Macaca mulatta: one gene and its partners. The protein of the gene in region 2 binds, or shares a complex with, the protein of the main gene of each other region. Links are inferred from orthologs where the notes say so. Each region holds a gene or a part of one and is shown on either strand. Other genes may lie near its edges.

Evidence for each region.
Region 1: CACNB3 (region 2) and CACNA1S share a complex: the UniProt entries of both Homo sapiens proteins name them as parts of the calcium channel complex. The link is inferred for Macaca mulatta from reciprocal best matches to the Homo sapiens genes CACNB3 and CACNA1S.
Region 3: CACNB3 (region 2) and CACNG1 share a complex: the UniProt entries of both Homo sapiens proteins name them as parts of the calcium channel complex. The link is inferred for Macaca mulatta from reciprocal best matches to the Homo sapiens genes CACNB3 and CACNG1.

The regions. Positions count from the first base shown.
Region 1 is NC_133406.1:58,761,090-58,771,645, forward strand, and holds the start of CACNA1S (voltage-dependent L-type calcium channel subunit alpha-1S), read right to left. Parts: upstream 6,765-10,556; 5' UTR 6,269-6,764; coding exon 6,117-6,268; intron 4,245-6,116; coding exon 4,139-4,244; intron 1-4,138. Other genes in the region: ASCL5 (achaete-scute homolog 5), read right to left, coding at 8,679-9,299. UniProt on the Homo sapiens protein: Pore-forming, alpha-1S subunit of the voltage-gated calcium channel that gives rise to L-type calcium currents in skeletal muscle.
Region 2 is NC_133416.1:55,975,145-55,985,655, reverse strand, and holds the start of CACNB3 (voltage-dependent L-type calcium channel subunit beta-3), read right to left. Parts: upstream 6,511-10,511; 5' UTR 6,314-6,510; coding exon 6,269-6,313; exon of another isoform or gene 5,353-6,268; coding exon of another isoform or gene 5,299-5,352; intron 1,901-5,298; coding exon 1,778-1,900; intron 1,564-1,777; coding exon 1,441-1,563; intron 980-1,440; coding exon 864-979; intron 560-863; coding exon 495-559; coding exon of another isoform or gene 466-494; intron 279-465; coding exon 259-278; intron 64-258; coding exon 1-63. UniProt on the Homo sapiens protein: Regulatory subunit of the voltage-gated calcium channel that gives rise to L-type calcium currents. Increases CACNA1B peak calcium current and shifts the voltage dependencies of channel activation and inactivation.
Region 3 is NC_133421.1:76,793,390-76,803,898, forward strand, and holds the start of CACNG1 (voltage-dependent calcium channel gamma-1 subunit), read left to right. Parts: upstream 1-3,464; 5' UTR 3,465-3,657; coding exon 3,658-3,886; intron 3,887-10,509. UniProt on the Homo sapiens protein: Regulatory subunit of the voltage-gated calcium channel that gives rise to L-type calcium currents in skeletal muscle. Regulates channel inactivation kinetics.

The DNA of each region.
Region 1 (10,556 bases), on a different chromosome or scaffold from region 2:
GTGGACACAGGCACCTGTATCTCCACACATCTGAAGTTGAACTCACCACCTTCCTCTTCCCCATCCCCACCTGCAGTCTTGGTAAGTGATACTGCCATCTGCTCTGTTCCCTTCTGAACCCCAAGTGTCATCCTCCCCCTCCCCTACACTTCCATCCCCACATCCAGTCCTCACCATGGATTCCATCTGGCAGGTCTTTCTTAAGGCCACCTCACAGCCATCTTTACCATCACCAGTGCCTTGGCCCAGCCTCCCCTGTTGCCTGCTTGGATGACTTCCCTGGGCTCCCTGCCCCCTTCCCTGCTTTCCATCCCACCCCATGTCACCCCAATCCATGCTCCACGTGGGGCCTGATTTTTCTAAATCCCCACTTGACCTCTCCGTCTCTTGCCTGCAGCCCTTTGCCCATGTGGCTTCCTCTGCCCAGAGTCCCCTTTCCCTCTTGGCCTTCTACAATGCGCTCCTTCACAGCCAGACTACATAATGGGGGGCCCAATATAAGTGAAAATGTGGGCCCCCATGTTCAAACAGTAGGAAATAAGTGCTGATGAAGGTACTAAATATAAAGCTTTTCCTTTTTTTTCCAGCCCCTTTCTCAACCTACGGTGGTGTCTTTTGATTGCTGTTCGGCGTTGTGTGGGGCAAGTGCAGACTGTCACAAGCACCTCCTCCTAGTCTTCTCCCTCCACCCTCACTATCCCACAGCCCAACATCCTGTGCCTTGGCCAGAGGTGGAGGTGTGGAGCTAGGCATCTCCCCTTCACTCAGACCCGCCACCTCAGCCCATAGTGGACATCCGGCACCCAAGGGTGTTGCAATCTCTGCTTCCTTGGAGACAATAAGTACCTAGAATGGGGGAGGGTCTTGGAGGCTCAACCTCATAGGGTCGTTTACTGAATGGACTGCATCACTGCCAGCCCAGGGTAGAGACAACCAGAGCCATGTCCTTCCCTGAGACACGGCCCTTTCCATTCTCCCACTTGGGCCTCTGCCAAGTGGCCCAGGACTCCAGAGGGCAAAACATAAAGCTGAGAGCCCCTCCTTAGAGGCAGGGAGATGGCAGAAGTCAGGACCTCGTGTAAGCCAAGGCTCCAAGCTTGAGGTGCATGTGCCATTGTCCCAATGTACTTCACTTACAAATCATAAATTCAAAGATAAAATTAATTAAAATTTCAATACGTTGACCACAGAGCATTCAACCCCAAATGTGGGGCCCTTCTGAGTGGGGGTCCTCTGGGACTGCATAGGTTGTACACGTGGGAGCTGTCCCTGTCCTCAGCCTTTAGGTCTCAGGTTAAACATCCCATCCTTTGGGAGGACTTCCTGATCTCAAGACTAGCTTAGGTTCTCTGCCAATATGCTACCAAAATGTTCCCAAACCTTGAACCTTTCCCATTTCATTTTAACTACTTGTTTAATTTGTTTTATCATATTTACTTGTTTAATCCAGGTAATGAAGCTCTGTGAAGATGGGAACTGTGCCTATTTGGTTCACAGTGATATCCCCAGTATGTGCCAGGGATATGATAGGCACTAAAGAAACATTCGTTAAATGAATGAGAAAGTTCATGAACAGTTAATCCTTAGGCCTCCTTTCTTGAAAGCTATGGGTTATTCTAAATGACTGGAAAGACCCCAACCCTTCTCAGATACCTACAAAGCAGCCAATAGGGTAAGAGAGAGAGTACCTGCTGCCCCTTTCTACTCTGACTCCTCTCATCTCCCTCTTGTTGGGTTTTGTGGACATGAACAGTGAGGAGCCCTGAGCTCGAAGCTGGCTAAGCGACTTTGGGTATCACCGACTTTCTCTGGGCTTCACAATTAAGTGGTCGGATTAGGAGTCCTCCCTGAATATTCATTTCCCATACAGCTCTGACATGCCAAGTGGCATTTTCCGCTTTGGAAACATTTTTTATTAGGTTTCCGACTTCCAGGGAACTCATAATCCTGTCTCTATGAACTCTAGGCCTAACCCAAGGTTTTGCAACTCCAGCCCACAAACTAAAGAAAAACACACACAGGACTACATGAAACAGTTAAGGCAGCCATTTTGTTTCAAGATGGAAGATGATATAACCTCTAAGATGTAATTTTTTTTTTTTTTTTTTTTTTTGAGACAGGGTCTCACTCTGTCGCTCGGGCTAGAGTGCAGTGGCATGATCCTGGCTCACTGCAGCCTCGACCTCCCGGGCTCAAGCAATCTTCCCACTTCAGCCTCCCAAGTAGATGGGACTATAGGTATGCACCACCAGGCCCGGCTAATTTAACTTTTGTAGAGACGGGAGTCTCTCTATGTTGCCCAAGCTGGTCTCGAACTCCTGGATGCAAGCGATCTTCACGTCTCAGCCTCCCAAAGTGCTGGGATTACAGGTGTGAGTCACTGCATCCAGCAGAGGTGTAATTTAATATCCTCCAAGGTGGGGCAGAGTTTTTTGCAAAAGTAGTCAATGTCGTAAGGAACTGAGGCCCAAAAATATGAAATCGTGAAGGGTGGGGTAGACCCAGAGCTCTCCCTGCATTCAGAAACATGGAGACTAAGCCTATGGTGTAGAATGCCCAGACTTTACGAAATGCCTTCCTTGCCAGCAAAGGTAGCATTGCCCTGCCAACATTTAATCCCACTCTCCTTCCACACTCGGGAGCTCAGAGTGTTTTCTCCTCATAGCAAGCACACATTTAGAATCCCAGCTTCCCATCGGCTCAAGATAGATTCCCATGGAAACCAGCATAAGGGAAAGGCAGAGATGTGTCAGGCCCTGGACACATGCTAATATACCTCCTCCCTCCCAGGCCCTGCAGTTTCAGTGCAGGAAAAAAAAAATTCCCGTTGAAAAAGGTGGTTCCATTGTCCTGTCCCCTAGGGAGCCTGAGGCCACTGTTTCTAAGAGGGCTTCCCCTAGAAGTCTTTCTGCTGTCACCCACCACCTTGGCAACACAGCCTGTACAAGAGCAGATTCTGGCCAGGCGTGGTGACTCACGCCTATAATCACAGCACTTTGGGAGGCCGCGGCGGGCGGATCACCTGAGGTCAGGAGTTCGAGGCCAGCCTGGCCAACAAGGCAAAACCCAATCTCTACTAAAAATACAAAAATCATCTGGGCATGGTGGCAGGCGCCTGTAATCCCAGCTACTTGGGAGGCTGAGGCAGGAGAATCACTTGAACCCGGGAGGTGGAGGTTGCAGTGAGCCAAGATTGCACAGCCTGGGCAACAGAGTGAGACTCTGTCTCAAAAAAAAAAAAAAAATTGCAGGTTCTAAAGTCAGAGAGACCAAGCTGGAGGCCCTACCACAAGACTTAGATGTGGGGTGACCCTGGGCAATGTACCTAAACTCTCTGAATATCAGTCTCCTTGTCTTTTAAATGGGTCTAATAATGTTACTTACCCCACAGGAGTAGTTAGGGGGATTAAATAATACAATAATGTAAAATATTTAGCTCAAATCCTGGCATTTAATAAGTACTTACTAAATGCTAACCATTTTTATTATAAATTAACTATTGGGTAAGTAAGTCCTTGAAGCTATCTAGGCCTCAATTTCCTCATCCATAAAACAGAATCAGGTGGGGAGGAGGTAGGACAGCCTAATTTTTGAATATCCCTTCCAGCCCCGGCATTTTATGGTTCCAGGTATGTGTTACCGATGAAGGGGTGAAGAGAAAGTGGTATTGTAGAACTCTAAAACATGTTCTTGCTTCAGATTCCTGGATAAAACTCTCCCATGAAGGCAAACTTAGTGGACACAAGTTTCTTATGAATTACATCTAGGGAAGGGAAATTAGCATTCAACCTCTGTGGTTCACTAGCTGACCTTACGAAGCCTCAGTTTCCACATCTATCAAATGGAACCACTTTATGAGGTGGTTGTGAAGATTAAATGAGTTTACTCTCATCCGGTATTAGCACAGTGCCCGGGACCAATGACTGTGTGCTCAGTGCTGGCTGACAATGTCACAGAATCTAGAATAAGCACGTTGACCCTGGAAACCTGTTGAGCCACTCAGCCAGCCCTGCAGGTGGGTGGGGATGCAGGGAGTTAAACCACCAGCACCATCCCCCAGAACAGAGTCCACCAAGGGGGCCTCCCCAAGCCTGGGGCTGCAGGCCGTCAGGAAGGGGGATGGAAGAGCCAATCTTACCAGGCCGAGGTTCAGAGAGTTGTTGTCATCTTCTGGCATGGGCAGGTACACGGCCAAGGCCACACAGTTGGCAAAGATGGTAAGCAAGATGATCGTCTCGAAGGGCCTGGAGCCAGGGTTAAGGAGAGCCCTTGGGCCACAGGGGCATGGGACTTACAGGGTTAAGGGGAAGAGGGCGCTGAGGGTCAGTTTGGACTGTGACTCTGATGCCAGGCAGGTGGACAAGCTGTTGGACACTCACCCACGATGCTCCTTCCCTGAGCACCTGCAGGATACAGTGAGGACCAGGTTCCTGCCTTGACAACTGGCTCCCTTTCCTCAGGAACAAGTCGCTTTCACATAGACTCCTTGGAATGGTAAAGGTCTGGTCCCTGGCTAAGGGCTACTCAGCTTTAAGGCCTAGGGAGTCTTCACACTGCTCCACTCTCAGTGCCTGTCTACGCCCTTGCCTCCTCCCAGGGAGCCATGACTTTCCCAGATTCTGGCCAATCCACAGAGGCTCACCCAGAGAAATGGCACGGGAGGGTAAGGGTTGATGCGGGGTAAGGTTGAGAACTCACCGAGCAGGACTGGGAATGAGGGATGGAGAGATGAACGATGAATTTCCAGAGCCATGTGTGCATGCTGGTGTGCTCGTGCTCACACCCATCACACCTCGCCCCTCCCAGACACACCCACCCACAGCCATTTCTAGAGGGTACCCCAGGTCCATGGCTTTCTTGACTTTCTGACCCATTAGGCAGCAAGTGTGGAAAGAGCTAGAGAAAGCAAGGGAGGAAGCGAGGCAGTTGTTTGGGGGCGGATGGGGAGGCATATTATGTAGATGGGCTTGGCAGAAAAATCCCATTCTCTTCCCAGTAACCTCCAGTGTTTGAGAAAAGAGGAGGGCCACAGGGGCAGGGGGCTACGAGAGGGGAAGGTGCAGAGGAGCAGAGGATGGAGGAGAGGGAGAACCCATGGAGTAAACCTGTTTGCAGAAGAGAGGCAAGGAGGGAGGGCCTAGGAGGGTTCGATGTGGGTGATTCACCGACTGGCCAAGGGCAGGTGAAGGGAACAAGGCTGACACTGACCCCAAGATATCTCTACTTGCCCCACGTTTGTCTTGTCCTTCTAGTTATCCCTCATTCTCCTTCCTTCTAGGGAACAGTTGGTAGGAGCCCAGCCTTCCAGAACCCTTCAGAAATATTTCAAATATGCCCGACCCTCGCTCTCAGAACCCACTTGACACAGCCCTCCCCTTGTCTCTGTCACTCCTTCCTCCCTTCCCCAGATAACCCGGATATTTTCAGCATTCTTCCCCCCAGAGCAAATGCAAACACAGCATGAGATTCGAAGTCTCTGTCCCCAGGGTGGCACGTCTGAGCTAGAACACCCAGGCTTGCTTGGCCTGTGTCTTGGAGCCACTCAGACCAGGTGTCTTTCAGACCCATTTTTTCCCTTGGCTCTGTCCTCAGCTGGGATCTGCCCCCAGAGGGGTCACCCCCCACCCAACCCAAACAAGGGGGAGTTTTCTCAAAGAGGCCATTGAACCTTTTATTGGTTCCTATCCTATTCTGAAATGAGGCTGGTGCTTCAAAAACCTAGTGGCACCCCATGATAATGTGGATTTGGGCACACCTGGGAACAGTCCCCATGAAGCAGGCCCCACCCATAGGTGGTCAGTAGGCATCTCTGGTTGTCACCCAGGACTTGGGTGGCCTGCTCAGGCCCAGGAAGCCCCACCAAGTCCTCCTCCTCTTCCTCCTCCTCTTCCTGTTCCTCCTCCCCCCTCCTCCTTCTCTCCCTCCTCTTCCTCCTCCTCCTCTCCTGCGCAGCTGAGGGCTCCTTCCCCCAGCCTCACTCAATTCTGTGAGTTCACCCCAGGTCTAAGTCCCAGGCCTCCCTGGCCCTCCTGTAGGAAGTGTGTGCTCTGTGATCACCCCTGAATCCCTCCCCCATGATGCATGCTCCCCCCCACGGCCTGGGCCCTGAAGGATACTTCCATTCTACGATGCTGATGCAGGCCTTCCTCAGGGGGTTCTCCAGGGTCAGGCAGAACAAGGCCCGGGGTGGCCTTGGCAGAATCTCAGGAACCGGCTTCTTGGGCTGTTTCTTCCTCAGGCCTTCATCCTGGGGTGAGGACGGCTCCATGGCTTCCCTGGGAATCTGGCTCCCCCTCCCCAGTGCCCTCTCTTCCCTGCGTCCCCAATGCCCCCCGCCTTGAGGACTGGGCTGGCTGAGGCTGTCGGCTGAGCCTGCCCTGCTGAGCCAGCCGGGGGGCGGGGGCAGCAGTGGGGGCAGGAGGATTACTCTCCCCACTCCCAGCAAGTAAAATTAGCCTCCACTCGGCTCCCCACTGCCGGGCCTGAGCTCCTGAGGCCAGACAGCTGTCATTCCATCCAGTCCAGCCAGTGGCTTCCCAATCTGTCCCCTGAGGAGGGTGGGGGATGGGGAGAAGAACTTACACACAGGCCTGGGATGGGGCAGGGGCAGTGGGAGAGGGAGACAGGATGGAAGGTTTCAAGCCTGCGGCAACAGAGATCAGGAAGCGGTAGCCTTGGATATGGAACCTCAAACGGCAGAGTGGCCCCCTCATGCCAAAATTAGGTTTCCCCTCCTCAGCCCCATGACATTGTCTGGAGAAGGCACTGGGCAGCCTAAGTCAGGACAGCTCCACAGCACCCTCTACCTAGCTCAGTATTTGCACCATCAGCCAAGACTCCCCAAACATACCCTCAACCCACCCCCCAAGCAATCCCATGTCAGGGAAACAGTAAACCCCTCTCCAGTGGGCTGGAAGACTCCCAGAACATCCCTGAGTGTACACACCTCTGGCATAGCACCTGCCTCACTGTGGAGCATCTGCTGTGTATCTTTCTTCCTCACCTCCTCCCACCCCTACAGGTGTAAAGGTTGTGGGCTTTATCTCTGGGACTCTGGCCCCTTCTCTGCACAGTCCCCACATATACTATGCTCCCTGTAAATGATCACTGAGGCCAGGCGTGGTGGCTCATGCCTGTAATCCCAACACTTTGGGAGGCTGAGGTGGGCAAATGGCTAGAGCTCAGGAGTTCAAGACCAGCCGGGGCAAGTGGTGAAACTCTGTCTCTACAAAAAATACAAAAATTAGCAGGGTGTGGTGGTGTGTGTTTGTAGTCCCAGCTAGTAAGGAGGCCAAGGTGAGAGGATCAGTTGAGTCTGGGAGGTTGAGGCTGCAATGAGCCAAGATCGGGCCACTGTACTCCAGCCTGGGTGACAGAATGAGACAGAGTGAGACTTTGTCTCAAAAAGAAAAGTTCATTGAGGTCAGCCGCGGTGGCGCATGCCTGTAATCCCAGCACTTTGGGAAGCCAAGGTGGGCAGATTACTTGAGGTCAGGAATTCCAGACCAGCATGGCCAACATGGTGAAACCTGAACTCTACTAAAAATACCAAAAATTAGTGGGCGTGGTGGTGTGCACCTGTAATCCCAGCTACTCTGGAGGCCAAGGCAGGAGAATTGCTCAAACCCAGGAGGCAGAGGTTGCAGTGAGCAGGCATAGAATCACTGCACTCCAGCCTGGGCAACAGAGCAAAACCTGTCTCAAAAATTAAAATTAAAATTAAAATTAAAATTAAAATTAAAAAAAAAATTCATTGAATGCCTGAGCTAACACTGAACCTTAAATGCGCTAACAGCGAATCCCACATACCCTTCCAGCAAGTACTCTGGACTAGGAGTGGGAATGAGAAAGGGGCACCAGGAAGGGTGAGGGTAGACAATGATCTAGGAATGAGAAAAATTCAAAAATCCTTTTATTTAGCTCTTTGGTGCCAACACAGTGCCTATGTACCCATATGCACACCCCCCTCCCCCAAGGCTTACAGTCTGAGGGAAAAAAACCACAGTCCCCACCCAACCTGGGACAAAACTAGATGACCTCGTTGGGGGGTGTGAAGGGAGTGATCGCCCCCCACCAAGGAAGCTAGAGAACGCCACCAGGGCACACAGGTCGCCTCTGCTGAGTCTGTGGGTTCGGTCCGGGCTGAGCGCCGGCAGCGGCCTGGCCTCCCATCCCTTCCTCTGGGTTCCTTTCTCAAAGGGCAAGCGTGCTCCCAAAGAAGTCGCTAGTATTTGAAGCCATCTGGTGGAGAGCAGGGGCATGATAACCGAGGGATCAAAGCCGGGCTTGCCTCCCGGGAACTCGCAGAGACTGGGCTGCGCCTGCGGCGAGGAAGGAAGAAGCAGGCCGAGCGGGAGCCAGACCCAGGGATAATCGTCCTGGAGTGCCCCTCTGCACCCCGGAGGGGACGCAGGACGCCCGGAGCAGTCCCAGGCCCTGCCCCTCGCTGCACCCACGGAGCTCCTCAGGTCTCTATCGCGCGCCTCGCACCCGTTGCCCTGCACTTCCTCCCCAAGTTGACGGAGGAGGAAGGATGTCGCAGACACGGGAGCACCGCGGACCTCCTGCAGTCACCAGCCTGCGGCGCATCGCGGGTGACCCAGCAGCCTCCCGCTGCTCCCGAAAGTGGGACGGGGCCGACGGATCATTCCCCAAGCCAGGGGCTGCCACAAGCCCGATCAATGGCAGGATTCCTCCGATTCCAAGAAAGGCGAGGGGGAGAAGCAGGAGGACTCGGATGACTCCGGTACCAGGGAGGAGGGCGCCCGGGCCTCGCCGTCGCCAGGGCGGTCGGGCCGGGGGGCGGCGGGCGGCGCCGGGCAGGGCCTGGTGCCCGGGAGGCCGCGGGCGGCGGGGGGCGTCGCGCCGTCTGGGGCCGAGCTCAGCAGCTCCTGCAGGTACTTGATGTAGCGGATGGCGGCGCGCAGCGTCTCCACCTTGCTAAGTCGTTTCTCTGCCAGGGCGCCGGGGAGGTGGCCGCGGAGGCGCGCGTAGCCCTCGTTGACGCACTTAACGCGCTGCCGCTCGCGCTCGTTGCGCTTCTGGATGAAGGCTGGCTCGAAGGGGTATTCGTAGACCCCGAAGGCACCGGGGAAGGGCACATAGGGGAACACCCCCGCGTAGGCGTCGTAGTAGGGCTGCTCGGCTGGGCCCGGGTACAGCAGGAAGGGCACGTTGCCTAGGGGCTCGGCGGGAGGCAGGGGCGCCTGCCGGGGAGGGGGCATGACGCCCAGCTGCATGCAGCTGGGGGGCCCCAGGGGCCTCCGGTCCACCAGAGCCCGGCAGAAGTTATTGTTCATGGTGCCACGTGGAGCTGGACCCAGAGTGAGGCCCCCACCGAATGGCCCCTGCTTGGGGTCTACACGGTCTCGACCACTGGGGCAAATCACATCGCTAGCAGCAGCTCCGGGGTACCAGGATTTGCTAGGGCCTCTTTTCGCCCTTTAGGGTGGCTTCCAAGGACTCCCTAACACCAGCCATCGTCCTAGACAAGTGTGGCCCCTCTCAGGGGGTCGGTGCACACCTTCTCAGATCCAGCCCATGGCGCCGCGGAACTCTGAGGGCCCACACCTCGCTCCGCAGCACCCATGGGCACGGCCACAGACCCGCACGCCTTGCCTCTTCCTGCCGCCCAACATGGGCACCTCAGGCCTAAACCCCAGGCTCCATGCCCTCCACCCCCACCCCAGCGCCTGATCCTTGGTCCTCACGGCCTTCGAGATCCCTGATCCCTGGGCAGTCCGGGGTGCCCAAACTGATGGCTGCTGTTAGGAGTGCGCCAGCTCAGTGGAGGGAGTCCCGGGAAACATTTCTAAACAAGAGGAGAGGAGAGTGAACATATCAGTTAGGAAAGGCCTGTATTATGGGCTTATTTGTATCATCTCCACCCGCAAACGGGATTGTAAGCCTCATGAGGAGAGGTGGTTGGCTACTGAAGGGGCACAGATCTGGGTTAAAATCTTGTGCGCATCCCTTCTTACTAGTCGGGTGACCGCTTTGAGTCATGGTTTCCCTAGGAAGGGCAAGGGAAACATCCCTGACAAGAAATTAATAAGCGAATCAACTGTGAAAGTATGTATGCAAAAACACCTCCTAAAGGGCATAGCTTATAGAAATGCCCAATTTTGTCATGTCCCTTGAGAGTGGGGATTAAGTCTCATCACTGATCCCTTCCAGGGCCTTACATCTAGAAGAAGGTCTGAGACTGCCTATTGAATTAGCAGCAGCAGCCATCAGCCAACGAGGGAAGCCAACTCTTTATGGAAAGGAATGCCTCTTTGATAACCAGGTAGGTGTTGTTGGTCCGTTCAAAGCCCTCTGCCTGGCAGAGACAGTCATCAAAGCCTTCCCTGCCCCAGTCCCTATGGTCCGAGATACACCCTCTCACCCCACCCTGGGTTTCTCCGTGGCACCTAATGGGGGCATCTATTCTTTCACCTGTATGTCCTGAGCCTAGCCCAGCCCCTGTCAAGTAATAGATGCTCCACAAATACATGTGGAATAACTGAGAGAGAGGATTAGGCAGAAAGCTGGGTTTGTTAGGGTGGGACTGATTA
Region 2 (10,511 bases):
GGGTCCGACCAACACCACAGGCCGCATGGAGGGCACCACGTCATATGGGGGAACATGTTCCGCCTGCAGAATGGACATGAGGTCAGTAGAAACCATGGCCCTAGTGCCTGTCTCATGCCTGGCTGGTGTCAAGGCAGATCCAGAGGTTCTGGGCTCCCTCCCGTCTCTGTTCTGCCCTCCAACAATGACTGCCTAGAACACTGTCCCCAGAGCCATAAGCCATGATCCCCCCCAGCCCAGGTCCCTTCCTTGACTTACCTGCTTTTGCTTCTGCTTGGCTTTTCGGAAAAGGAAATACAAGATTAAAGTTGGTGAAGGGGGAAAGGTCCCTGGGGGCACGGTATCCCCATCCCCAGGGAGATACTGGCTTCTCCCCACCCCTTCTGATCCCTCCACAAAACCCCTTCCCACACAGTTCACTTGGGCAGAATCCCCCCTTTCCCTGTGTCTTAGCTACCCACCTACCCAAAATGGGTGGGTTGAGGGGAGGCTACCTAGAGATGGTGGAGGGGAGCGTCGGTTGCCAATGTCACTCAGGCTGGAAGGGTTCCCGGATCTCCTGAGAAGAAAGGGAGGCGAGAGAGAGGTAGAGAAGAATGTGTCTTTGTGTACATATGTTCTATGCATTATTTAATAATTGTACACATTTCCATATGCTTTATCTAGTGAGACAGGTGTACACACAATATGTGTGCATTCGTGTGTGTGTTTGTAGATTTGTTTAGTGTGAGTGTGTAGAGCCGGGCATATGTGCATGTGTATTTCAGGGGGATATGCATGTGTGTGGCATGCATGACGATGTGTCCTGTGGGTACAGTTCAAGTGTTTGGGGTGTGTTTACTGAGTCACAGCCCAACTCTCACCTGGCCTTCTGCTCCTGTTTGAGCCGGATGCTCTCCAGGCGCTGGGGGCTGGGGATGAAAGCGATGTCCCCGCCCTCTTTCACTAGCCGCCCGATCCACCAGTCATTGCTGTACTTCTGGGGGTGGGTGGAGCAGGAAGGGTGGTGAGAGGAGCGCCCTGCCCAAGTCCTGGTTCTTCAATGTGAAGAAGCCAGCGAGGCAGTCACTGAGCTGGTCTAAGGAATGCAATGCAAGGGGCGGTGGGCAGAAGGGGCCAGGGGAAAGGGCAGCCAAGTTCGGGCCACCCAGGATTTCTGAGTGAGGCACTGCAGCTGTCATAGGGGACCTCGGAGGCAGCTAATCTAACTGCTCACTTGATGGACATGGAGACTGAGGCCCAAGCCAGGTCTCAGAAGGATGGAGACCCTGGGGATGAGGTCTTAGATATGAGGGGTGGACAGGTGGGTGTTAAGGAGAAGAGCTGATTAGCTTGGGGAATTAGACTGAGGACTGAAGTAAGAAACATTGGGATCTGGGGCAAGAGCAAGAAAATGAAGTGTCAGAGGCTTAGAAGTGTTAGAGCACGGGGGTCGGTCACCTCTTTAATGTGCAGAAAATCTTTGGCCTCAAAGTTGACTCCAGAGCCCTGGACGGGGCACTCCTCATCCAGTACGCCACAGTAGCTGACATTGGTCCTCACCGCAAATGCCACAGGTTTGTGCTGGAGAATTTGGCCATTAGTGCAAGTGAGAGAAGCCTCGGAGCACCCCTTCCAGCTTCAGTGCCCCAACAGCAGAAGGCCGTGGCCTCTGCCCCTCACATGCACCCTCTCACACTCAAGGACATCCTGCCCAAGGAAACCTTGGGACTTAGGACCAAGTGCAGGTTTCCACCTAGTTTGGCCTCCTGTCTTGCCCCATGCCCAGAAAGTATACCTTGGCCCTTTCGAGCTGCTGCTGAGCCTGGCTCTCTACTTCACGCCGGGCACTTTCCCGGTCCTCCTCCAAGGAGACGTCTGAGTCCAGAGATGGGCGGCTGGTGTAGGAGTCAGCTGAACCCTGGGTTGGGAAACAGGCTGTGACTCCCAGGCTCCGGCGTGAAGGACGCTATGGAGGCACCCTCCTCACCTTACAGTGTTGCCTCTATTGCCCCGTTTCTCCATCTCCAAGGGGGTGGCTGGGTCCCTATGGCCCCTCCTATCCCCTGAGAAGGGCCCCGGTGCCTCTGAGGCTACAGGAAACCTGGCCCCATCTATAGGTGCAAAGATCTGGGCCCCTCCTCCCCCAAACCTATTAATACTACAGCTTTGAATAGAGCCTTCACTTCTCTCTTTCCTCCCTTTTCTCCCCTCTAACATGTCCTCTGAGCTGAGGGAAGGGAGGAGTGCTGAAGATGATGTATTAGAGATGATTCTGGATCCAGGAGACCCAGCCCTCTTGTTCACAGCAGCCTGCAAAGCAGCCTGGACATCATCCCTTTAAGATGCCTGGCAGGAGTCCAGCCAGCAGTAACAGTCAAGAGACGCTGGTTGGCACAGCACCAGTCCTGAGTGTGGGGATCCAGCCATCTGCCCCCTAAGATCCTACTTTCCCTACTCCAACAAGGCTCTGAAGGCTCTCAAATGGTGAGCCCTTCCCCTTCCAGGGTGAAGAGGAGGACACAAAGCTGCCAACTCCTAGAAGTTACCTCCCCTTTGCTCTCCCCACCCCCTACTTTTCTTCCTCCCACACCTGCTGGGGCAACTGGCCAGATATAGGCAGCAAACAAGACACAGACCGAGAAGAACACAAAGCTGTCTCCCTGGACGCAGGTGAGGCTGGGCCATGCCTACCACTTGGCCTACATCTCCCCAGTCCTTTCCCAGGCCCAGGGGACACTGGCCCTAGAAGAAGGCTATGCTAGTGCCAGGCAACTCAGCTATGGAGCAGGACCCTGGGGATGTGGGGAGTGGGTAACATGAGCAAGGAGAGTCTCTGAGTCCTGCCCATAGAAAAGGTCATAGGCAATGAGGGTGCATTTGAGGGTCACAGAGCTCAGCTTCAAGGCCATGAGGGAGAGGCACAAATGAGTAAGGGATGCTGGACTTCGAGACAAGAGCCCAGAGGTTAGGATGTCTGGGTTTCCTCCTCTGCCTACGGAAAGAGTCTTTCGTTTCCTGCCTCAGTATTCCCTCTCTGTGGGGAGAAGCCTCAAGTGATACTTCCCACGATTCTGAGATGCCAGTGGCAGAGAGAAGGGATAAGCCTAAATAAGGGGTTCATGCAGGAGTGTGTGTGTGTATAGGGGAAGGGGCTTTAGAATGTCCTTGGGTGGAGGAATATTCTCTCAAGCTCACTGGGCACGACCACCTACAGAAGGCAGCAGAGGCCAGACTCTCAGAGGAGAAGGCAAAATCACACACCTGCTGTCCACTGTGCCCTCTACCCCCACCCTGCCTTGAGCAAGAGGGCTGTTCAGCTGGGGGTCAGCCCAGGCTCTCGAGTCTTAGGCTAAAGACAGTGTCTATAGTACACCAAAGGCCTGAAGATAGCACAAGGGGGAAGGTTCTTTCGTTTTACAGAAGAGTAGAGTCTGCCCGCTGTTGCTCATCTCTCCTGAGAACAAAATGAGGCTGGATGGCAGCAGGAAAAGTGGGGGTTGAACCCCAGAAATAATCTTGGCACAGGGTGAGGGACCTCCTTCCTAGGGGTCTTAAGACACAAGAGAAACCTCTGTGGGATGTTAGTATCTGAAGCGACCAGACAGGGGCCAATAGGCTGGGAGGCAGAAGGCAAGGCAGATGACCACTCACTTTGGTACAGATACATCGGGTACCTCCCAGAAGCTCAGCACCATGCTAAAAGAGGAGTCTGACCTTTTCTGCCTGCGCTCCAGACTCTCAGCCCAATTTAGTAATCTTTATTTTTATTATTTTATTTATTTACTTAGAGACAGGTCTTGCTCTGTCGCCCAGGCTGGAGTGCAGTGGCACAATCGTGGCTCACTGCAGCCTTGAACTCCTGGGCTCAAGCGATCCTCCTGACTCCTGAGTAGCTAGGACTACAGGCATGCACTACCATGCCTACTAGTTTTTTGTAGAGACAGGATCTTGCTATTTTGTCTAGGCTGGTCTCAAACTCCTGGGCTTAAGCCATCTTCCTACCTTAGCCTCGCAAAGCACTGAGATTATAGGCATGAGTCTCTGTGCCTGGTTTAATTTAGTGATTTTTTTTTTGAGACGGAGTCTTACTGTGATGCCCAGGCTGGAGTGTAATGGCGTGATGTTGGCTCACTGCAACCTCTGCCTCCAGGGTTCAAGCATTTCTCCTGCCCCAGCCTCCTGAGTGGTTGGGACTACAGGCATGCGCCACCATGCTAGCCTAATTTCTGTATTTTTAGGAGACACGGGCTTTCATCATATTGGCCAGGCTGGTTTCCAACTCCTGACCTCAAGTGATCCGCCCGGCTTGGCCACCCAAAGCGCTGGGATTACAGGCCTGAGCCACCTTGCGGCCTAATTTAGTAGTAATAACGCCTGGGGCATCTGGGGTTACCTGACCTCTCACCCTGGGATGGGAATCACAGGATCTCTCCCTAAATAATTAATGAGTTGTGCTCAGAATGGAAGCCCCTCTCCATTACTTCCAAGTCCTCCAAGCTAACTTATCTCTCGTGCTCCGGTATTACTTCGGGAGGCCAGGGCTGCCCTGCCAGGCATGATCTAGGGTCTTACCTTTCCTGTACCCCGCTACGCCAAAAGAGCCAGAGTGTCAGTACTTTGGAGCTGCCAGGAGTTGGCACAGTGCCCCGGTGGTGCCCCCCTTGCCTAGTGAGTGTGTGGGCAGGCTGCAGCTCCTCTCTTGCCTGGCACGGGGGAAGGAGAGGAGGGAGATGAGCCGTTGGATTTATTTAGAGCCTGATCTCCCTCCTACTGCTTCAGAGGGGGCCTCAGGGAGAGCAAGGAGCCAGGCAAGAGAAAGGGAAGTGGGGGAGGGTGATCAGGAGCCAGAGAGCGATGGGAGGGAGCAATGGGTCAGCAGGCTGTCCTCCAACACCATCCACATGTCAGTCTGTTCCTTGCAATAGCCCTTGCCTTCTCACCAGGGATGGGAAGAACCTCCTAGGGCCCTCCAGCCCCACAGAGAGGTTTGTTCTCAAGCTCACCTTGGCACCCTGGGCTATACCAGCTGTCCCTTCAACTGTCAGAAAGAGGTGTCCACCAGAGCCTTGAAAATGATCTGCTCTAGCAGCAAAGTAATTACCCCAGAGGCCTCATGGAAAATTGGGCCCAGAAGGAGCCCAGTCCCAGAAAAGGACAGTTGCCTATTCTGAGCATCAGCACTCATCTATCCTGGGCCTGGCAGCAAGTGATGGGAGAAGACTGGAACATACTCCTCTTTCCGACCCAGGGGTGCTCCATCCTATTGGGACCCCTTCCAAGCCATCTATTGGTCCACTCCTAAGGAGGCCTTCTTACAGGACATTTGAGGGAAAGTTGGCAGCTCCAAGGGTCTGAGAAGCTGCTCCGCATTCTTGCCCCATCTTTCCAGGCACTCTCCCTGCTGTCTGAGCTCCGGGAATCACTGCTTAATGAGCTGATTTGTCTCAGTGGGTCAGGAGATAAAAGCAAAGAGGAGAATTAAATATTTATTGGTTGCCTGTTTCTCTGAGCAAAGCGCATCCTCTCCATCCCCAGGCCCTCAGCTCCTCTGGCCTCACCTCCAGGCCCTCCATGCTGGGCAAGAGCTCAGGATGCCCGCTGCTCAGAGGAAGCCTCAGCAGGGGGCTGTGGAATGGATGGGGCTCAGTCACCTGGCCTACCCATGTGCTGGGTGCCCAGGTTTCAGCCTGAGAGAGAAACTGGGCTAGAGAAAGGGTGAGGAGATGAGGCAGTGCGCAGAGATGGAGGGGGTAGAAGGGAATAATGGAGCTCCTCAAGTTTTAGGATCCCTCTGTCTAAAGAGGCTGGTCCCTGGCTCCCTGGTGTCCTCTCAGCTCCCTAATGTGTTGTTTGCTTGAGGCACAAGAGGTCCGGAATGTCTGCCTCCCCAACTACCTCGGCGGCTCTCCTAGCTGTTGTGTTCAGACCCCAGAAATCCAGAATTTGGAACTCCAGACATGGCGTGTTCCCTCTCCAGAGCCTCTGTGCCCTCGGCCTCCAACCCTGCCTCCTCCCACCCCTCTTTCCTGGGCCGTGGAGCCACCTGCTTGAGCCCTTCCCCTATACTGCCCCCTCTCTGCACACACCCGATGCCCCAGGGTCTGAGTCTGGGTCGCTGGGGAGCGCTTGGCATGAAAATCCATCTCCCCACGTTTTTAGAGCGCCCCCCTACACACACTGCCCTGCCACTGAGGCGTTTTTCAAAGTCCTGAACTGGGGGAAGGGTTGAAGGGAGAGGAGGTGTCACCCCAACTTCCCCGCCCCCACCCTCACCGTGGGCACTCACCGCCTCCGAGTCCTCAAACCCGGGCACGTAGGAGTCGTCATACATGGGGGAGTCCGGGTGGGGGAAGCGAGCGGCGCCGGGGGCGGGAGCGGCCCGGAGGCAGGGGCGAGGACTGCGGGCCGCGCCCGGGAGATGCCACGGAGCCCCGCAGCCCTGCGGGCGGCGGCGGGGAGCGAGAGAGCGCGAAGGAGGGAGCGAGCCGCGAAGACCAGCTGCTCGGAGCTCAAATCACCGCTCCCCCCACCCCACCCCCCCAAACCCAGCCGGTCCCACCCCGAGCGCGGCTGAGGAATCTGGCGCCCGCTCCTACAACAATAGTGCCCGCCCACCTGACCCCCTCCCTGGGAGAAGGCGGGGGCGGCGAGGGGGCGGCGGCCACCGGGGAGCCCGGGCCAGGCCCGGAGACGGGAACGGACCCGTGCTGGGTGGAAGGTGGGTCCCCGAGCACCTACGGGGCCTTGGCGGCTGGGAGGAAGGGGAGGAGAGGCTGCGGGCGGGGCGGATCCAGGCAGGGAGGAGGCGGGGCGAGGAGAGATGCGGAGACAGAGACGCTCGGCAACCCAGGAACTACTCCGCCGGGAAACAAAGGGCTGCGGCGGGGGAGGGAGGGGGCGCTGAGACCGCGAGGAAGACGCGACCCAGGCGGAGACTGGAGAGGGCGCAGGTGTCGAGGAAGCCGGAGAGAGAGAGGCAGAGGGAGGACGGAGAGGACAGGAAAATGGGGAGACCCTGGGAGACAGAAGAGGCGCGGGAACAAGCGGCAGACTGGGGAGGGGTCCCAGGCGACAGCAGTGCGGGTCTGGGCCCGTGCGTCCCGGAAGCTCCGAAGCAGACCCCGCAGTAGTCCCGGGGAGGAATGGGCTTAGTGCCCCCAGGCTAATGCCAGGACGGCAACTCCTGCCCCAACAGGTGCCCGGCCCCCTCAGTACGGGAACGCTGCGGCAAAGGCGGTGTTGCCTAGCCCTTGAGAAGGGGGGAACTTTCCGTGAGCTGGATAGGCCTCCCCACACCTGTTGCACAGATAGATTTCGTCTTAGTCCGGCCAGGATGGGGGTTCCGTTCCCCACTTCCCTGCCAAGGATCGTGCCAGACAGTGCCAAGGCATCCGTGGGAACTGGGTCAGAAAGGGGCTGTTTTAGGTGAGCCTAAAGGGAGGGGAGAGAAACCAGAGGGTGGTGGTAGGGGATAGTTGTGGGTGGGATCCTGGCTACACTGGGGTTAGGAGAGGAAAGGGCCAGTCTCCTCAGAGTCACTAGGGTAAGGCCAGATTCTCCCCTCAGCAGAAGGGCTTGTACCACTCTGCACCACTCAGTCTCCTTCACAGGAACACTGAGATTTGAGGTAAGAGAGCCGCAGCCCTTATATTGAGGAAACTTTCCCCAAAGATCCACCCATTTGAGCTCTCTCCTTTTTTCATCTCCTGAGCAAAATTCCTTCTTTGATTTTTGACTGCCTACCTTTGTGCCCCACAAGGAGGACGTCCATAGACAGGGGTACACTTGGAGGCCTCCTGGTGCCCATGCCCTTGGCCCTGAGCTCAGTCCTTTTCCTTTCCCAATTTCTCACACCCGGGAGTTCAGCAATCTGCTCATCCCTCCTAGGCTTGAGGAGAATCAGACATCCAAAACTCTGACATAGCTTAATAAGATCTGTGGTAGAAGGCACTGTGCATGGGAGAGAGAAAGCCCACCCAAACCAAGTGGCTTCCCACCTGGGTCACTTATCGGTGTTATCTTAGCAAGAAAAAGAAGAGGCTTCATCTTCAGACTGACATCTTTAGTCTGTCTACTGTGGGTGGCCCAGAGCAGCCCTGCCCAGCACCTTCCTCATGCTGGGTTTGACAAACAACTTTGTTACAGCCCCTGTGGCTGAAGGGACGTCGCTATTGGGGGAGGCAGTCAGCTTTCACAGTTGCCTCTCCTGAGTCCAGCACCATTTGGGGTTTGGTCATATACTGGATTCGTATTGGAAGTTCCGACACTGCCCACTTTTGTGCCCTCACCCAGTTACTCAGTATTCCTTGTATCCCCCTCTTTCATCCTTTTCAATTCCTTCTGTCTTTCAGGGGCCGAGAGAGGTGTCGGAGAGTAAGACCCTCAAGGTGCTTTTCTCCTGGGAGATGGTTCTAATGAAGAAAGCAGTGGTGGAGGCAGCTGCTTCTCTTCCCATCCCTGCATCCACTCTCTTGGCCTCTCCTTTTGGGACTCTCCCACCCACAGAAGGTCCTGGGGCTGTAGGTAACAGCGGATCTGCCATGGGCAGCACTCCTTCCTCACACTCCTTGTAATCTGCAACAAGGTTGTCTAAGTCTGCTCCTGAGGCATGTGTTGCCATGCCAACCATCCCCAGGAGATGGGTTCAAGTTCCTCATACCTGGCCCTTCCCCTGGGTCCTGCAGGAGCTTCAGAACTTCCCTCCTTCTCCTCATATCTCTGGGTTGCTACCCAATGCCCCTTTCCTTTCTCATCTCACCCACACCTGCCTACTCCAGTTGTAATGCCAACTTGGTGACTTCTTGTCCTGTGACACGACATGTGCCTGTCAGTATCCATGTAGCCCTAACCTCTTTTCTTTTTCATGGCTGGGCATAAAGGGAGAGAGCTGAGGGCAATAAAGGATCAGGGGAGAGGCTCCTCCTGCTGATTCTTTCTAGGAGAGAGTTGTTAGACTGGCAGCTGGCAGGTACCCAAGTCATGGAAGCAAGACATAAGAGGAAAACCCTGAATAATCAGGTTTGGGAGCTGGAGTTCTTGGGAGGTTTCAGAATATATTCTAGCTTCTCCTGTAAGTGCACCAGGAAGCTGGGCAGATCCCTGTCCCTGGGCACTGAATGGGGAAACTGAGGCAGAAGCTAGGCCTTCTGGGAAGACTTAAAGACTCCTCTCCAGCAGTTTTTTTGTTTTTTTTTTTTTTTTGAGACGGAGTCTCGCTGTGTCTCCCAGGCTGGAGTGCAGTGTCGTGATCTCGGCTCACTGCAAGCTCCGCCTCCCGGGTTCACGCCATTCTCCCGCCTCAGCCTCCCAAGTAGCTGAGACTACAGGCGCCCGCCACCACGCCCGGCTAGTTTTTTGTATTTTTAGTAGAGACGGGGTTTCACCACGTTAGCCAGGATAGTCTCGATCTCCTGACCTCGTGATCCACCCGCCTCGGCCTCCCAAAGTGCTGGAATTACAGGCTTGAGCCACCGCGCCCGGCCTCTCCAGCAGTTTTTAAGATCTGGACCAGATAAAGGCCCCTACCATTCTGGCTGCTAGGCTGCCAGGGAACTTGGGGACAGGCACTAGGGGAGCTTGGCAGAGCCCTTCTTGTAATCTAGCCCCTTTTTTCTGGCTTCCCGGTCAGTCCTCTCCTCCCATCCAATCCCAGTACTAGGAAGCTGCCAGCTCTGGCCGCTCCCTCCTCTCTAACCCGGTGCCTCTTCCACCCCTGGTTTCACTTCGTCGGGTTTCCCTCCCTCCCTATCGGTGCAGTCTCACCCAAACGCGTGCCCCCTTCCTAGCTTGGAGCGGAGCTCTCCTCCCATCCAGTGGGGAACCCCCCCTCCCCCGACCCCCTCCCCCAACCACGGTTACCTCGTTCAGCAGGAAGGTTGCACTGGAGTCAGAAAAAGACATAGACCAGGCTAGCGGCCTCTCCTCCTCCCCCGGGCCAGGGGCTCCGAGGCGGGAGCAGAACCCGGCCGCTGCTCTGCACGCTGCTCCCGCCTGCACGCCTGGCCTCGCCCCACGCCCGCCCGGCTCCGCCGCCTGCTCCCTTCCCTCTCTCCTGGTTCCCTCCCTCTTTCTCCTCCCTCCTCCCTCCCTCCCTCTCCCTTCCTTTCTCACCGCCTCTGTCAGTCTCTGGCTCTCCCCGACTTTCAGCCCAGCCTCTCTCGCCACTTCCGTCTCTCCTAAGGTCCCCGTTCTGTTTTTCCGTGTGCCTCCCACTGTCCTTCCATCCCCATGTCGCACCCTCGCTCCTCAGCTTCCCCTGCCCCTCTGCTTCTTCCCTAAAGTCCTCCCGAGAAAGGGTAGGGACTCTGGAGCTTCCGCCGCCGCAAGCAGAAGGGCAGGAACAGCTCCAGGGCTGCCCCAGCACCTGAGCTCTTGGCGGAAGCTTCTGCTCCCTCCCGGCCCTGCTCTGCGCGCTGGGCGCGCATCCCCCGGCGGCGACTGCGACCCAGACCTCGGCGGGGAAAAGGACCGAAAAGCAAGAGTGCTGGTGCTCGGCTCGCCTGCCCAAGCGTCTAGGCGCCCATCTACCC
Region 3 (10,509 bases), on a different chromosome or scaffold from region 2:
GCATCCAGGGCGATTGATTTCTTACCATTACATCCTGTGCTGAATCAAGTACTCAATGCTCTATTAAATGCATGACGGCCTCTCTCCGGTCTCCTCTTATGAGAACACTGCTACGGTTGGGCTCTGTGTCCCCACCCAAATCTCATCTTGAATTGTAATAATTCCATGTCACGGGAAGGACGCAGTGGGAGGTAACTGAATCATGAGGGTGTCTTTTTCTCTGCTGTTCTCATGATAGTGAATAAATCTCACAAGATCTGATGGTTTTATAAAGGGCAGTTTCCTGCACGTGCTCTCTTGCCTGGCGCCATGTAAGATGTGCCTTTGCTCCTTCTTCATCTTCCACCGTGATTGTGAGGCCTCCCCAGCCATGTGGAACTGTGAGTCCATTCAACCTCTTTCCTTTGTAAATTACCAGTCTCGGCAGTGTGAGAACAGACTAATACAGACACTACTCCCATCACAAGGCCCCCACCTCCATGAGCTCATTTCATTATCTCCCAAAGACCCCATCTCCACACACCATCACATTGGGGGTTAGGCTTCAACCTATGAACTTGGGGAAAACATGATGCAGCCCATAGTGCCTACCATGGCTAAGCTGGTCCAATGCACTCCCTCCTGTCCTTCTACCCTCTCCACAGCCAGGCCCATTGCTTTCATTTTACAAAGGGCAGCTTAGAAAGGCTAATGACTTGCTGGAAGCTGCACAGCTGGAGCCAAGCAGTGCAGGGATTTGCTCAGGGCTGGCCAGCTCCATCACCCTCTAGCTTGGTCCCCCTCTCGCATGCTGCCTCCCTGAGATGCTCTCCTCCCTGCTGCCCTGGAAAGGGTGAGATCTGGGGGGAGGACATGGATGTTGCCCTGCCCAACTCTCAGCAAATGCCTGTGGATACTGAAGTCCTTTCCTGGCCCTGCCAGGCTCTTGGGGAACCAGGCAGGCAGCGCGGCAGTGCCTCTGTGAGCAGAAAAGGTGTATTTGAGGGAGCTTTTAGTAAACAGGGGAGAGAAAGTGGATCTGTCGGCCTCGTGGTGCGACTTACACAAAGATGACTTCAAAAGGCAGAGGCCATCAATCTTTAATGCTTTCACTGCACTGGGGCGGAGGACTCTGGACCCCTGCATGGGGCACAAACCTGCCCCCCACCGAGGGAAAGAGCAGCAGAAGTTCCTGGTTGCTGTCCCCGCCGAGACCTGGCATCTTTGAAGGGCCTGCAATATCATCATGGCTGGTGCTGGGTGCACCCTGTGCACTGGGCCCTTTCAGGGTGCTTTCCAAGGCCGTCAGAGGCTCTTGGCACCGAAGAGCTTAGGGCACCCACACCCACCACACCAGGAAATTCAAAAGACACTTTTATTCTTCCAGCGACACTGTATTTACTTGTAGTGCTAAAATTAAACAGCTTCTTTCTAGATATTCTGTCTTAAAACACTGGAACCCTATTCTGGCTCCCCAGCTACTGCTTTGCTTTGTGCCTGGCACTCAGTAGGTCTGCTCAAGCTGTCCAGCACCCCCTGAGATCCCCAGGTGCCAGGATCCTGAAGCTGGGCCCCCACAAGCAACAAGAGAGGGCTCAGAGGCTGCGGCCATGTCCCAGGTTCCGGGAGTTCCCCATGGAGACGGTCCACCCACCTGGTGACAGGCAGTTTCTCCGCGAGCTGAAGCAGGGGCGGCGGCATATGTCAACAATCAGTCAGTGATCAGTCAGTTGTGATGGATTAGCACCCACTGGGAACACAGAGGTGGGGGGACAGGGAGGAAGGGAAGCAGAGATTAGAACAGTGGGGAGAGAAGCTCTCGGGAGATTGTAATATGGATGAGAGACTGACTTTAAAAATATGAACGTTTGGATGGAACTGCAATAAGCACGAGCCTGTGGCTGGAGACACGAGGGTTCAGCTCAGCCTCGGGGCTGTTCACCAGGTGGTCCTGGTTCGTCATGTCTCCTCTCTGGGCTGCAGATTCCTAATCTGTCACAATAGATCTTCAAGCTTCTTCCCAGTTCTAACCATTGGTTAAGACTTCGGGCTCTGGGTCCTGAAACCTGGCTTCCTCATTTTCCCGCTGTGTGACCTTAGACAAGTGACTTCACGTCTCTGAGTGTCCATGTCCTTGTCTGTGAAATGGCAGTAACAGTTGTGTTACTGTGAAATGGCAAAAACAGCCACAGTCCCCTTGTGGATTTGGTGTGAAGAGTAACTGCGATGATGGATGAAGGCTCAGCAGAGTGCCTGTTAGATAGTAAGCACTCACTGAAGATGAGCCACTGCTCCTATTATCATCATCATGAACTTTCTGTGATTCCAAGGCTGGAGGCCGAAATGTTTCTGTCCACATGGGCAGAGTCTCTGTAAATCGTGTCAATCTGAGGCAAGAATTTTGAAGTTCAAGGCCCCACCCAGCTCAGGAGGCTATTCCTGATCATGCATCAGCCTCTCGGCTACACCCAAAAAGGGCCACCCAGTGAGCTGAGAAGGGAGAGATGGCACAACCCAGGAGAGACGTAGAGGCCGCAGCCTCGGGGACAGGCCTGGGGGCCAGGCAGGCGCACAGGACCCTCGGAGGGTGGTCGATCCCAGGCTTTCTGTGTTCTCTGCCATATCCGCACACCCATGAGCTCCTGATGATCCCCTATAAATCAACCTATTCGTTCTTTTTCACTCACACACATATTTTGCAAATTAAAACGTAACTGGAAAATCGTTATCACCTGCTGTTAGTAGAAGGCAAAACCAAACACAGTGCCCTGAAAACAGAACAACCAAGTCCAGCAGGATTCCTCGTCCTCTTCAGGCCGTTCTCGCTTTGTTTCAGAGGACACTTTGCGGGCAGTAATGACACTGACCTCGAACGGAGCTCTGCTCTGGACCCAGTTTTGGGGATGGAAAGAGAATTGAAAAGGAAGTAATGTTCTCGTGGAGGGATCAGAGTTGGGTAAGGCCAGGCCTGGGAACCACCTAAAATCTTCCTGTGGTTTGCGGGATGCTGTGGGGTTTGTGGCTAAAACGCTTGCCTGAGAGGTGGACTCCACAGGCCCCGGACAGGGTCCCTGGGATGTCCCTAGACAGAATCCTAGGCCCCCCAGATCCCAGGATGAGAACCTACTCACTGCCCCGCCGGTAGTAGGCTTACAATGTGGGAGCCCGGGACGGCCGTGCAGCCTGCAGCTCCTGGTCTCCTCCCCTGGCCTGGGGTGCCCTTTCCCATCAGCCCAGAGCAGACAGATCTCCACCCCTGGGGCCCTGCTGCCCACCCCTCGCCCCCTCCCAACTCAGGCACCCTGAGCTGCTACTCCATAGAGGCCTCAATCCACCATCCAGAGCCTTCTCTCCTTGCCCCGCCCCCCACTGGGGTATTTCTGGCTCCCAGAGGGGCAGACAGCGCTGAAACCCGAGCAGAAGCCGTCCCCGGTGCCACGCCTGGAGAGGGGCATTAATAGCAGCCTTCCTCAGGCCCCTGACGCGTCTGGGCAGCTGCTCAGCACATCCCGCGTCCCTCAGCCCCAGGGCCAGCCCACTCTGGCTCAGCCAGGCACACTAAACTTAGTGGCCACTCCCAACTCGACAACCACCGCCACCCCCCAGCTCGGCTGTCACCTGCCGGAGGAGACGCAGCCGCCGGACCCTGCCCAGGGCACCCACGCCTCGGCGACCACCATGTCCCAGACCAAAACGCTGAAGGTCCGCGTGACCCTCTTCTGCATCCTGGCAGGCATCGTGCTGGCCATGACGGCCGTGGTAACCGACCACTGGGCTGTGCTGAGCCCCCACATGGAGCACCACAACACCACCTGCGAGGCGGCCCACTTCGGCCTCTGGCGGATTTGTACCAAGCGCATCCCCATGGACGACAGCAAGACCTGCGGGCCCATCACCCTGCCCGGGGGTAACGTACCCACCCTCCGTCCCGATCCCCACCTCCCGCCCTTCCCCGTCGTCCCCCGGACAAATTTGCCCATGCCAAGGAAGGCAGGTTTCTCAGGCTAGAGATAGGGCAGCCGCCCAGCCCTTTCTGCCCAGGGAAGAAGATCTGAATTGCATGTGCTGTGCTGGTGGCTGGGGCTGGGTTGTAAGACGAGGGCGTTTGTCCCAGCTATTTCTGTCTGGCTGGACCCTGGGGCTTTTCGCCCAGAACAGAGAGCTGGGCAGGCTCAAGACGGGAACCGCAGCTCTACCAGCCCAGGGACTTCTGGGCTCCATCTGGTCACTCTCTCCCTGCAAAGACATGCTGGGTGGCTCTGTGTCCTCAGGCTGGGGGAAACCATGGAGCTGGCAGGTTTGTCCCTGGCCTCAAGGCAGGGGAGGAGAGAGGACAGGCGACGGAATATGCAGGGTCCTGTGCAAAATGAAAATGCAGGGTTCCTTGCTCCAAATTACCAAGGATTTCAAGGCAGCGATAGCAGCACATGAATCCAAGCATGGACCCTTGTGGGCCCTGGGCCTGGAGAAGCTGCACAGGTTGAATGCCTGTGAAGCAGGACGTGGCTGTGGGTGAGCCACCTGCCCCTACCTTTTTTTTTTTTTTTTTTTTTTTTTTTTGAGACAGAGTTTTGCCCTGTCGCCCAGGCTGGAATGCAGTGGTACAATCTTGGCTCACTGCAACCTCCGCCTCCTGGACTCAAGTGATTCTCCTGCCTTGGCTTCCCCAGTAGCTGGGATTACAGGCATGCGCCGCCACACCCATCTAAGTTTTATACTTTCAGTACAGACGGGGTTTTGGCATGTTGACCAGGCTGGTCTTGAACCCCTGACCTCAGGTGATCCACCTGCCTTGGCCTCCCGAAGTGCTAGGATTACAGGCGTGAGCCACCGTGCCTGGCCTCCGCCCGCCCTTTTGTCAGGACGTCAGTCCATTATGCATCCTCCGTTAGCTCAGACCCTGTCAGAGTTACAAAGCATTTCCTCACCCTGTAATTTAAGCGTATTCCTCGATTTCCTACCATGTGACCGAACCACATGTCGAAGGTAAGCTCCTTTTCAGGAGTACCTGGTAGTTGCATGACTAGCCTCTATTCTGCAAATGCCGAGGCTTCTGGATTCTTAGCAAATACAGCACTTTAGAGGAAAGGGTGCTACGTGGAGACCAGGCGGCCAGGGATCTAGTCACCATTGCCCATTACCCTCAAATGACCATCCAGCGAGGACAAAGATCATCTCAGCCTCTGCTTCTTCCTCTATAAAATATGGGACTGACTCTCAGCAATGTAAGATCCCTTCCCAGGTTTACAGACGCCCATCCACAGTGGCAGTGGAGCAGGGTTATGTCAGTGTGATGTCCCACCTGGTTTTCAGGATTATTCCCTCTTTTACCAGACTTTGGTGTTCCTTGAAACCTGTCCTTCAAGGACACTAGGGCTGAGTCCCCAAAGATCTTGCAGTCTGCATGTGAACCAAAGAGCCAACACCCCAACCTCCCATATCTCTGCTCCCTCTTCTTTCCCTGCTGCTTGCTCCAGAGATCCCCTCCCTCATTCACGCCCACTGGACGCCCAGAAGACTCGTAAGTGCCCAACTGTTATAGAAACACCGAGTCCCAGGGCTGAGGGTGACAGGTGTGGCCATGTGCTGGCAGGGTATCGCATAGCCCGGATGCCCATGCCCCTTGGCGACTGCCAAGCACACCCATAAACAGGCAATCCCTCCAGCCAACTCCCCTGGGCAGGGCAGGGCAGGGCAGCTTCTTCAGGGACCGCGCATAGGGACGTGCTGTTACAGTCCTGTTCACCCGTCCTTGGAACCATCTGCCTTTTAAAGTCAGAGCAGAGGACTGGGCAGTGAGCAGAGTCCACACAAGGAAGAGACAGGCTGGTGAGAGGTGACTAGACCAATTACAGGGGACCAACAGGCATTGCTTGTTGGACCAACAGGCCTTGAGCCTGACCAGGATCTACCTCTTTGCCTTCTTAGCCTAACCAGCTATGAACCATACTTCCCACACTTGTGACACTGAGCACTACCTTTCTCCCAGTCATCTTCCAAAATATGTTCCTGCCTTTTTCCCTCTCTTTTCTCTGCAAATGGACATCTTTCTCCTTCCCCATATGCCCTTCTTGTGCCCCCTGGGACCATTCTTGTCTGGAGGGAGGAAGCGGGTTCATATGTGGCCTCTCATTTATTATTAACAACAACAACAATAATAATGGCACATACACGTAACCCTATGTGCCGAATATTGTTGTAAATGCTTTACATGTTTCAACTTTGAATGACATCACGAAAAAGATGATAGAGAAAAAGAACTTCCAAAAATCTTCTTCTCCATAAAAGCAATGAGAAGGCTGGTGGAAATGGTCAGAATCAACATTTTCAGAACTCTGGAAATTAACCAAAGTCCAGCAAGAAAAATGGGTGAATCTCAGGAGGACCAGTGAGTTCTGTGGTGTTTTAACTTGACTTATTCCTGATTCCCTTTCCCAGCTCTGTGGTAACCTCGCAAACCAACATTCATAACCACAGCGAAAATCAGCATCCCAGTAGCCTCTGGAGGGGAGAGAATGGGGTTGGATCAAAGGCCCATTCCCAGAGCATTGTCATGATTTGACCTGTCTGGTGATTCCCTGAAAAGCCCCACTTGAGAAGCTGTTTCTGTTTGACCTGACTCTGAGCTCACCCAGTACAAAGAATCTTTCTCCCTGGGGACATTTGTGGAAAATAATTAGAGATGATTACTTAACATCATGGCTGTCTGAGGCAGTAGATAACAGTTGGGAAAACAACAGGCTAACCAAAAAACTGGAGACTGAGATGTCCATAGGTTGCTTTGAAAAGCTCCAACAAATTCCTGGGAATCTAGGAGGTCACACGCATGCACAAGGCTATGTGCACACTCAAGAAAGACCTAAGAAGGCCCTAAGCACCCTCTGCCTTATCTTAAGTCTCTGTTCAAGCAGAAAGTGAAAGCTAAGGCAGAGGTGTGGGTGGCTTACCTGAGTGTGAGTCATATGCACAGAGCCCCTCAGTAAAGACTGGGGGAGTCATTGTTGCCAAGCATTTTAGGAAATTTCTAATTGGTCACTAAGCTAATTGAACAGGGATTTCAGTGGTCACACATGACAAAAAACAGACTTTACCATCTGAGTTCAAAAAGTCACTAAACAATAGGAACAAATCCTCAAGAAGGGGGAACAACTGATTTCCAGAGTTGCCACATTATATTGTTTAAAAAAATACCGGCTGGGTGTGGTGGCTCACTCCTGTGTTCCCAGCACTTTTGGAGGCCAAGTAAGAGGATTGCTTGAGGCCAGAGGTTTGAGATCAAACTGGGCAATATAGCGAGACCCTGTCCCTACAAACAAACCAACCCCACAAAATAGCCAAGAGTGGTGGCATGTGCCTATAATTCTAGCTACTCCTGAGGCTTAGGTGAGGGAATTGTTTGATCCCAGGAGTTAGAGACTACAGTGAACTATGATCACAGCACTGCACTCCAGCCTGGGACGGCGAGACTGTCTCTAAATAAATAAATACATACATAAACACAAGACATGCAAAGAACTAAAATGATATGGGGCATATATGGGGCAGGGAGAGCTCGATAGATCCCTAAGGAAGCCAGATATTGGACTTACTAGACAAAAACTTTAAATTGGCTATAGTAAGTATATCCGAAGAACTTTTTTTAAAAATCAAAAGCATTAAAGATGAAAATGATGTCTCATGAAATAGAAACTATCAAGAAAGAGACAGAAATTATTTTTAAGGACAAAATGGAAATTCTAGAGTTGAAAAGTACGATAACTAAAATGAGAAATTCACTAGAGGGGCTCAATAGCATATCTGAGCAGGTAAAAGAATCAGTGACCTTTAAGATAAGTCATTTGAAATTAGTTAGTCTGAGGAACAGATAGAAAAAAAAAAGAAAGAAAAATGACAAGAGCCTCAGAGACTTATGGGACACCATCAAGTGTATGTAAAGGAAGTCCCAGAAGGAGAGGGAAAGGGAGAAAGGAACAAAAAAGGTATATGAAAAATAATGTCCAAAAGCTTCCCAAATTGGATGAAAAACATTAAAAATCTACAAATTTGTAAAGCTCAATGAACTCCAGGTAGAATAAACTCGAAGGGATCCACACCTAGACATACGATAATCAAGACAGAGGATCTTAAAAACAGAAAGAAGCAATTCATCACATACGAGGAATCCTTAATAAGATGAACGGCCAATTTTTCCCCAAATCGATGGAGTCCAGAAGGTGGTGGGATGACATACATATATTAGCTCACCTAATCCTCACAAAAACCTCCATGAAGGCCATGCTATTATCATCATTCCAATCTTACGGATAAAGAAAATGAACCACTGAGAGGTTGAGATAGTTGACAAGGTAACACAGGTGATGAGCAGAGCAGCCAGGACTCATACTCAGATGATTACCCCTAACATTCACCTTCTTAGTCAATAAATCAACTACTTTACAACAACCCAGTGAGTGGATTCTTATTCTACAGGTGGATCCTATTCTACAGGTGGTTCTTATTCTACAGGTGGTTCTCATTCTACAGGTAGGAACATGGAGGCTGAGCATAGCCTTCCCCAGGCTAACTAGCTAACAAATAGAGGTTCTCCACCCAAGTCTTGAATCCAGAGCCTCCTTTCTCTCCAGTTCCTTCCCACACCCTCTATTGTGCATGTAAACACAGCTCCTAAAAGTTCTGACCCAAGTGAACACAAGGAGTCCAGCTTTTGACATGGCATAGTTTGAGGGTAGCCAGACCAGAAGCTGGTGCAGTGGAGGAGACCTCTCACGGTCCCATTTAGTTTTAGAATGTTGGAGGCTCAGTGGGCAAGAGTTGTCTAATTTTTCTACTGTCCCCCAAAGAGTCTTAGAAGGACTTCCATGTACAACATCTAAGACCAATTCCAATGCCTCCAGAATGAGAGCAGGGGCCTCTCTCATAGGAGAGACTATGTGTTCTGAAAGTCCAAATGAACCCACAGAGAGGCCATCCCCTGCCCTTGGGCTGGGTGAAGTGTTGCTTCTTTCAGGCTCTGCCTCTTTAGGGCAAGGAGGCAGGCTGCCCCAGGGCCCACTTTGCCTAGTGCCCCATTTTCCCTACTGGTCCATCTTCTCTCAGTGCAGGAATTGGGACTGGATGAAAGAGCATGATACTACTGACCCCAGGAATTTCATGGGCTCCCCTCACCACTCAGGAGTCCATGCCAGAGGCCTAGGCCAAAGCCAGGCTTCTCCCACGGAAGAGTAGTGCTCTGGAGCTCCAGGGTCAGGTCTTGGAGATTTCTCCAGCCCATTTTATAAAATTCTTCCATCAGAGGTGTGGGAGGAGACACAGCCCAGAAAACCACTGTCAGGAGCTGATAGAACTTCATTTACCAAAAGGCTAAACACAACACTGGCATCAATGCAACTTAGAGGCTTTCTTGCATCCCTAAAGTACCAGTTTCTTTGGTTTTGGACAAATCCACAAATTATCTTTGAGTATATGAAAGTCTCCATGGACTGTCACTTGGTACACTGATACGTTCTCAGTGATAACCCAAGGCATCCCCTAATGCTACCAGCTGCTCCAATGATCAAAGAAAGATCCCTATTAACTCTAGTTCAGCTTGGAGCTAAATGTGGCTTCTGCTCTAATTCTTCGAAACTGGCACACTAGACATGGTTCTGCACAGTGACTAATGCCCTTAACCAGAACACTTGTTTAGCCAGACTGTTCCATCCCCCAGTCAAGTCTGAGGGCTGAGTTCACCACAGTTTTAATAAATACCCCATTTAATATTTTTAAACCACTGAGTCTTACAGAAATAAGGAGATTAAAATCAGCATAAGCCATTTGCAGAGACAAAGGAGAATGGCACAACCTCAGAGTTCCTAACACCCCAGATCATCATCCTGGCATTGGAATCTTTGCTGACTTAGTCGGAAGCAAAGCTGCAATCCCTGAGCTTTGTGTAAGTATGATGGAAGCCAGGGCAGTGGGACAGAGAGGGACATCCCAGAGGCACAGGCAGGAAGGCTCAGAGTCTGCACAGGACCGTCACAGTCCCTCTCCTCTTGCCCCATGGCTAAGACGGGTTCCCCTCGGATGTCCTTCCTCTTTACGTTGCCCTGGATGCTCAGTTTCCCAAATAATATCCACCTGGACCCAGGGACAGGGCAGGGAGGGAAGGGGCTCATAGTAGGGTCTGTCCATCTGAACAGGACCCTCACCCTCTTGAGTGACATGGGCAGATGCCTGGCCTGATTTATCCTGAATGGGGCCTGGATCTGACGTGCCCCCACCCCTACAGGGGCCATCAGGGACCATGAAAGGGTTTATGGTCTCCAGTGGGCAGCCACATAGCCCAGGAGTGGATGTTTCTCCCAGGTTCAGGGCAGGACACACTGGCCTTTTTCATGTGCTAAGCCCAAGAGAGGGGACAGGTCGGCCCATCCGTCCTCAGGCCCCTAGTTCAGCCATGTAAGAGTGAAGCTGAGGCTTCCTGATGCCCCGAGAAGGCATCCTAGCCACTGGAGGCCCCCTCCCTCCATTTGAGGACACTTAATGGAG